2 linked regions of the Caenorhabditis elegans genome follow. The protein of the gene in region 1 purifies or fractionates together with the protein of each later gene. This does not show direct contact. Each region holds a gene or a part of one and is shown in the gene's direction. Other genes may lie near its edges.

Region 1 (3,821 bases):
ACTCAAAAATACGCATTTTTGGCCAATTTTGGCAATTTACTAATGTGCGGCCATGTTAGACTACTTGGAGTTTATTGAGACTAAATCTCCAGTGGCAATATTAAATCTGTAACACGTTTTTTCATTTAATTGAAATATGCAAGTTCTTCAAAACGTAGGTTTTAAAAGTATTTATTTACAATAAGTAAAAAGATTTAAATGTTTAATTTTCATAGAAAATAATGCTCTATAACGGCTATCTATTATATATATAGTGAATAGTGCAGTGAAGGAGAATATGAAAATTCACCTATTAGCTGAGTATCAACTCACAACGTGGGTACGAAAAAAACTTTGTAGTTTTTACTTTTCGGAGTATATAGGTAATTGTTTAACTACTGCCAATAAATATGAGTACAACTTCTATATTACTCCACATAGAAACCCCAATAGATCATTAATTGATCGACTATCAACTTTCAATCAGGCCATTTTCGAAAATTTTTCTCATTTTGAGAACTTATGTGCAGGAGACACCTTCTGTTCATAGAACACAATGGAAATCAATCGGTTTTTTCATAACAGTTGCCGTTGTAGTTTCTTCTCTTTTTTCTATCTTTTTTGCAACTTCCACATGAAAATTGCATTACGCACTGTGTCTGTTTATTCAGGCTTAGTTTCAATTTTAAACTGTTTGCAATAGACTTTAATGTAATTGCTAGGTTTAAAAGCCATTGACAACTAAAATTGTTTTCTAAATTGAACATAACTTGTAAATTGTCTCGTTCAAACCACCACCGCAAGTTAGCCAACTTTTCTTGTTCTGAGGCTAGATGGCATATCGGTAGATACTATCAGTGTCACAATTTGCCGGTCAAAAAACCGATAACGAAATAGCGGAGATCTTTTAGAAACTGCAGACAGACTGGGGAGTAATGGACGATAAAATAGAAGATAGGCTAGTTGGAAGGCGCATTTCTCATCAGAATCGTGTACTTTGTGTGTAACTCATTCTCATTTTTGTCCAAGTTCTAATAAGTTATCTTATTACATTTGAATTTCCACGCCTGATCGTTCACTTTTCTGGAAACTCATCGCTCCCACTTTCGAAAATCGTATTTTTACTATGAATTTTTCAAGTTCTACGATTTTAAAGGGAGGAGCATTTATGCGGATTGGTCTCGCCACGCGCCAGCCATTGATTGAGAAAAATATATCAATAGACGGCTCTTGGCGAGACCATTCCGCATAACTGCTTCCCACTTTAAAATCGTAGAATTGGAAAAGAAATACACAGTATTCATCAAACAATCAGCCATTATTAATATATTATTCAAAATATTATTCAAAATAGCATTCACTAATTTGTGTTTGAAGGAGGTACTTCCACATTTAGAAACTTGCAAATTTTATTCTTGGTTTTTTTAAACGTTCATGTTTTTTAAGATAGCAACGGTGTTTTAAAAACTTTCCGCTTCTGTCAGCAAAGATTTATGATCGATAAAATCTTAAAACACGTTGCAACGACACTCCGATATCCCATGCGATCGTTGTTTATCAAAAATGTCTTTCGGCCGGAATTTCAAATTACAACGTGGATTTCGTGGAAATGTATTGTCCTAAAACACAAAATATCTTGGCTTTACAGCGTTATTCGTGTTCAAAAAAGCACGAAAACGGTTTTTTCGCACTCTTTCTTTGCCAATCTTCTTATTTGTTTTCTCTTATGTCTATTTACTCGTTCAAAACTCGCCTTTTTCTCACTTTTCATTTTCTAATTGTCTATCTGCAGGTAATCCCATCTCCTCACGTCACGGAAATGTCTCCTCTGCCAGAAAACACCCTCATCGGAATGTGCAATCCATTGTTGGACATTCAAACCACCGTTGAAAAGGTAAGTTTTTGATTTCTCTAGAAATCTAGAAGCACATTCAAAAATATTTCATTTTAATTGCTGAAATCTACAGGCATTCCTTGACAAATGGGGACTCAAAGAAAACGACGCCATTCTTTGCGACGACAAGCACAATGACATGTTCACCGAGCTTACCAGAGATTTCAAAGTCGAGTACATTCCAGGAGGAGCCGCACAGAATTCGCTCCGTGTTGCTCAATGGATTTTGAACGCACCAAACCGAACAGTTTTCTTTGGAGCTGTTGGTAAAGATCAGTACGGAGATCTTTTGGCATCGAAAGCCAAAGAAGCTGGAGTGAATGTGCATTATCAGATCAACGAGACAGTTAAGACCGGTACCTGCGCAGCCCTCATCAACGGAACTCATAGGTAAGCGGATCATTGTTTGACGGACAGAAAAATCATCGTTGCCGTGTTGAAATGATTTCAGATCACTCTGTGCTCATTTGGCTGCTGCTAACACCTTCACTCAAGATCATCTCCAGAAGGAGGAGAATCAGAAGATCATCGAGCAGGCCAAATATTTCTATGTCACTGTAAGTTATCGAATTGATTTACAAATAAGCACAAAAGTATTCTCAATGTAAAATTTTCAGGGATTCTTCATCACTGTCTGCCCACCAGCTATTCTCCAACTCGCAAGCCACTCTGCCGAATTCAACAAGACTTTCACCCTTAACCTCTCCGCCCCGTTCATCTCCCAATTTTTCTTCGATAAGCTCTCGGAAATCATTCCATTGGTCGATGTTCTTTTCGGAAACGAAGACGAAGCTGCTGCCTTTGCTAAAGCCAATGGATGGGAGACCACCTGTGTCAAGGAGATCGCTTTGAAGGCTGCTGCACTTCCAAAGAAATCTACTAAGCCAAGACTCGTTGTTTTCACTCAAGGACCAGAGCCAGTCATCGTCGTGGAAGGAGATAAGGTGAGAGTTTTTGATAATTTTTGAATTTATTGTTTTCAATTTTAATCTACAGGTCACCGAATTCCCAGTAACTCGTCTTCCAAAGGAAGAAATCGTCGATACCAACGGTGCCGGAGACGCTTTTGTCGGAGGTTTCCTTTCTCAATTCATCCAAGGAAAGGGAGTCGAAGCTTCAGTCACCTGTGGATCTTATGCTGCTCAAGAAATCATCAAGAAGCACGGATGCACAGTGCCATCTGTTTGCAAGTACCATTAAACTGATAAAATAATCTGTGATCCCAACTTTCTCTGCTTTCAATTTCCCAGTCCCCTGGTTTATAGTATATCAAATTGTTCTTTGTTTTGCTCCCCATTCCCCGTCCTCGAGCATCCCTATTATTCGAAATTTTTCTTTTGGTGTTGTTTTTTTTGTCAAATGTTCCCAAAATGTGCCTTATAATTCATTTATCAGGTGTTTTAATAAAATGGCAAAGTTTTATTCTTCATCCATGTCGATTTGAATTGGAATCTTCTTCCCCTTTTCGACAAAGCCAATCAGATCCAGAACCAGAACGACACTGCCACGGCTGAAATAAAGTTTGTTGCATATTTATCAGGACTAGAGGAATATGATTACTTACAGTTTTGGTAAATTGTAAAACTGTTAGTGATCAACGTCACTTTTCCGAACACGTCGAAGTTTCTGTACGCCGTTCTTATCAAGGAAAGCAAAAAGAACATTAGTTGATTTGATCAGTTGTTCCGCTGGTAGACCTTCGTAGTTCTCATGAAGGACATTGATTAGAATGCTCTTCACATGAGCAGACAATACACTGTCAATGAAAGCAATCGGTCTGGAACTTACTTATCAATTGCTCATTCTGAAAACGAATCAAACCTGAGTTTATCTCGGATGATTGGTCTCTCGATGACAACTACTTTGACATTTACACATCCGTTTTCATCCTGAAATTTAAATATGATTCTTTGTTCTATCTCAAATAGTAAAGAAATATTTCCAACTT
Region 2 (3,819 bases), on another chromosome or scaffold:
AAAATGTAGGAACACTGCAGAAAAATAATTTTTTATCCAGACAGTGGTTTTCTTAAAAAAAAACTTCGTACCTATAATTAAATTCTGATACCTCAAAAATTGAAAAATCGACCACACAACAGCTTCAGGACCCCTGAGGTTTTCAAAAACTTTACAAAAATTTACCATACTTTTAAAATAAGTATCAGATTGTTTAAATATTCAAATAACATTTAATTATGTAATTTGATGAAGAAGAAGTTTTTCTCTGAAAGATTCCTGGTCACGAAACATTTACAATTAACCATAAATCAAAAATTCAAGTCAGAAAAGTACTTGAACACGACCTTCTGGAGAAACGATTTCTGAGAAATAAGGAAATTGGGAAACTTGTGTACCCCGATTGATCAAATTAGCAGGTTTGTGGAAATGTATTACATCAACGATCAAATGTTTATCGGCGTGAAACAACTACCGCGCGGCTCATTTTATTGAACTTTTTGGCGAGTTCAGTCACATTTTGAAAGCTTTTACTTCTGAGTTTCATAAGTATGTAGTTTTTTGGAATATAACTAAATCTATTGGTTTCCAAAAAAATCTACTTAGATTTGGTAGAAAGTTCAATTTTTCTAGATTTGTTAGGTCGTCACTAAGTTTGCAAAAATAGCATAAATTTATGACATTTTCGAAGTTTGTTTGCATTTTTCTCGCTTCGGCAGCTAAGAAGCCACAGACAAAACACAGCAGGATACCTGATTTCTACTGCGGTGTAGTAGATTTCTGGTCAAATTAGAAGTCGAACAAATTATGAGGATCTACTTTTTTCAAACAACTATTCGAACTGAATCCGCTGAGTTTCTTCTAGCAATTCCTACAATTGTTTTTTTTGACATGTACCCCAAACCTTTGATTTTCAATTTTGACTTCATCTTCAGCACCGACTACTCTTAGTCCTTTCTTAGCCCGATAATTTGGATCAAACGTTACTTTTAGGTGGATAAGAAGCTCAATTTTTTTGAATAGGCCCTTGTTTGAATAGAATTAAAACCAAGTTTTTGTCCAATTGATAAATTTCCAGCTGTTGAACCTAGGATTCTGAAATGTTGAAATAAAAAGGTTTCTGTAAAAATTGAAGAACTAATTGTAAAGATTTTTCTGGTAAAGCCTCTATTCCGGACAAAAAATCAGGAAAGATGTGGGGTCCCATTTACTTTCCAATTAACCCGGGAAATGTCCGCTGCAAGACATCAGTTTTTTACACTTTTTTGCCGTATTGTTTTGCATCGCCAACCTAGATGATCATTTGATCTGTCACAAAACACATTTCCCTTTTTAAATGTCCCTAATCACTAACACAGCATTTAGCATTACATCGAAACTCCAAGTCAGAGCCTCCTAGAAAAATAAATTTCCGAGAAAAAAAAATTGAAAACTCCGCACCTCAAATTATCAAATTAGCAGGATTACGGTGGTATTACATCAACGATCAAGAATTTTTCGGCGCGTCCAACTCTACCGCGCGGATCATTTTACATGCAAATGGGGCTTTGAACTTTTAGGCTCTGGTTTTCTGGCTTTTTAAGGAATTTTTCTTGTAACGCTTAGCTTGTGAACACTTTCGGAATTCCTATCGAAACCTATTATATTAAACATCTTCCAGGAAACCAATGGCATGGCCAGACAACAACACCTCAAACTGCCGGGAAACCTACTCCTATTTTGGCTCGGCAGACTATCTGCGCAATGCATATCATTTCACAGCACTTTTAACAGTTCCTCTATCCATATTCACATTTTACACAGTTATAACAAAGACGCCAAAGCGGATGAAAAATATGAAAATCCCACTTTTAATATCCCTGGCTTGGAGCACAAATCTCGATTTGATGTTCACAGTGTACTCGGGGCCGTATATATTTTTTCCGAGTGCCTCCGGAGTACCCCTTGGGCTTCTAGGATATTTGGGAGTAGGTGTCAAGTGGCAGTCGTATTGGGGACAGGTTTCCGTCACTAGTAAGTTTTAGGATCTTTTAGGAAATTTAAATATAAATTTCAAATACCACATGTTTTTCAGTGATGGGTGTCTGTTTTATAATGCTCTATGAAAATCAACATAGTCAAATTTCCACGATTCGATTCAAAATCAAACGGAGAAAAACTCGTTTAACATATTTCGCATTAAACTATTTATTCACATTTGTTGTTATGCTTCCATTTTATCTAGACGACACTGACCAATTGAAAATGAGACAGAAGGTCTTGGAGGTTAGTAAAATGTACTAAAATGCCCATTCAGAGATATTAGAAATGTTCAAAAAATTTTATAAAATTTTATATTTAAAGTCAAAAATGTGAAAACTCTCAGTTTTCACATATCCTAATTTTGGAAGTCGACCAAAAGATTTTTTTTGAATTAATTGCGTTCTTATTAATAATATTGAAACATTCTAGGAGTTCAGATCTGCGGGAATTTTCAATTTTTTTCAAAAATGTCAATTTTTGAATAACTAAAAACTTTTGAAGTGTTTATTATATTTTTCGGTCGTGTGTATTTAACACCCGTCTTCAAATTCAACTTAATTTTACAGAGAATCCCCTGTCCGACGAGCGAATTCTGGGACCCAAAAACCTATGTACTGCTGCAGGGCGGAGAGGTCTTGCCATTCTGGTCAATCACAATTGGTTTTGGATTTGTTATTTTCCAAACTTTTTTCTTTTTGTTACACACCGTTTATCACCTCACACTAGTATCAAGTGCCAAAATATCGGCGGCGACGAAGAATCTTCAGCGAAAGTTTCTGAAGAATGTTTCTATTCAGGTGAGTATAACTATAACTGAAAATTAACTGGAATAGCCAAATGAAACTGCAAAAAAATGCAAAAAAAATTTAAATGGGTTTGTTTCAATTTTAAAAATTTAAAAATGTTTTTGACAAATTGAAAAACCACAAAATTTTTAAAATTTTAAACATTTAATTCTAGCATGTGTTTTTTTAGATCTCAATTCCATGGATTGCCATTGCATTTCCTGTGGCCTACACTATGTATGCAGACAAAATGAATTACTATAATCAAGGTGAGAAAGTGCAAATTATTTAAAAAAGCCAAAACATGGCTAACACGTTCCAAACTTTTGCAGCCTACAACAACAACGCTATGCTAATTATGGCAAATCACGGACTTCTATGCACCTGTTGCACCCTTTTTATTTACAAACCATACAGAGATTTCACTAAAAGTCTGATCCCTGGACAACGATTTTCACAACGGAGAATGACTATCATCGTGGAACCTGTGACGTCTCCACATGGAAGTGTGTCTAATTAGTTTTTTTTAAATTTTCGTTTTATTTGCCAAGCAAGATTTTTTTACAAATATTTAGTAAATATGTTTTTTTTGGACAAAACTTGACTATTTTCACTCGGGAAACAGATGCGCATCTTGCTAGTGAGAGCCATTTTGGCAATTTTGGCATATTCATCAATTTTGAAAAATTTTGGCAATTTCACGAATTTCAGCAATTTTGACAATTTATCCATATCGGCAAAGTTGTCAATTTTGGTAATTTCGATAACTCTAGGATTTCTGACAATTTTTTTCAATGTTCGCAAATTCAAACTTTTTGGCAGTTTTAAAATATTTGGGCAATTTGGACAAACTTAGAACTTTCACCAATTTCAGCAGTATCATGAATTTTGGCAATTTCGGAAGTTTTTTAACATTTTGGGCAGTCTTGGCAATTTAAGATTTTTGAAAATTTTCGGCATTTTTGAAAATTATGGCAATTCAGGTAACATTGCCGATTTCAGTAATTTCAACAATTTCGAAAAATTGTCAAAA

The links. The genes of interacting proteins can lie anywhere in the genome.
Region 2: the proteins of adk-1 (region 1) and srh-56 fractionate together in Caenorhabditis elegans (co-fractionation; one large-scale study listed by BioGRID). This does not show direct contact.

The regions. Positions count from the first base shown.
Region 1 is NC_003282.8:11,208,782-11,212,602, reverse strand, and holds adk-1 (Adenosine kinase), read left to right. Parts: upstream 1-1,771; 5' UTR 1,772-1,798; coding exon 1,799-1,873; intron 1,874-1,946; coding exon 1,947-2,263; intron 2,264-2,324; coding exon 2,325-2,430; intron 2,431-2,490; coding exon 2,491-2,817; intron 2,818-2,869; coding exon 2,870-3,073; 3' UTR 3,074-3,294; downstream 3,295-3,821. Other genes in the region: R07H5.9 (Kinesin motor domain-containing protein), read right to left, coding at 3,461-3,650, 3,695-3,762.
Region 2 is NC_003283.11:2,770,214-2,774,032, forward strand, and holds srh-56 (Serpentine Receptor, class H), read left to right. Parts: upstream 1-1,646; coding exon 1,647-1,992; intron 1,993-2,053; coding exon 2,054-2,244; intron 2,245-2,567; coding exon 2,568-2,798; intron 2,799-2,976; coding exon 2,977-3,055; intron 3,056-3,118; coding exon 3,119-3,306; downstream 3,307-3,819.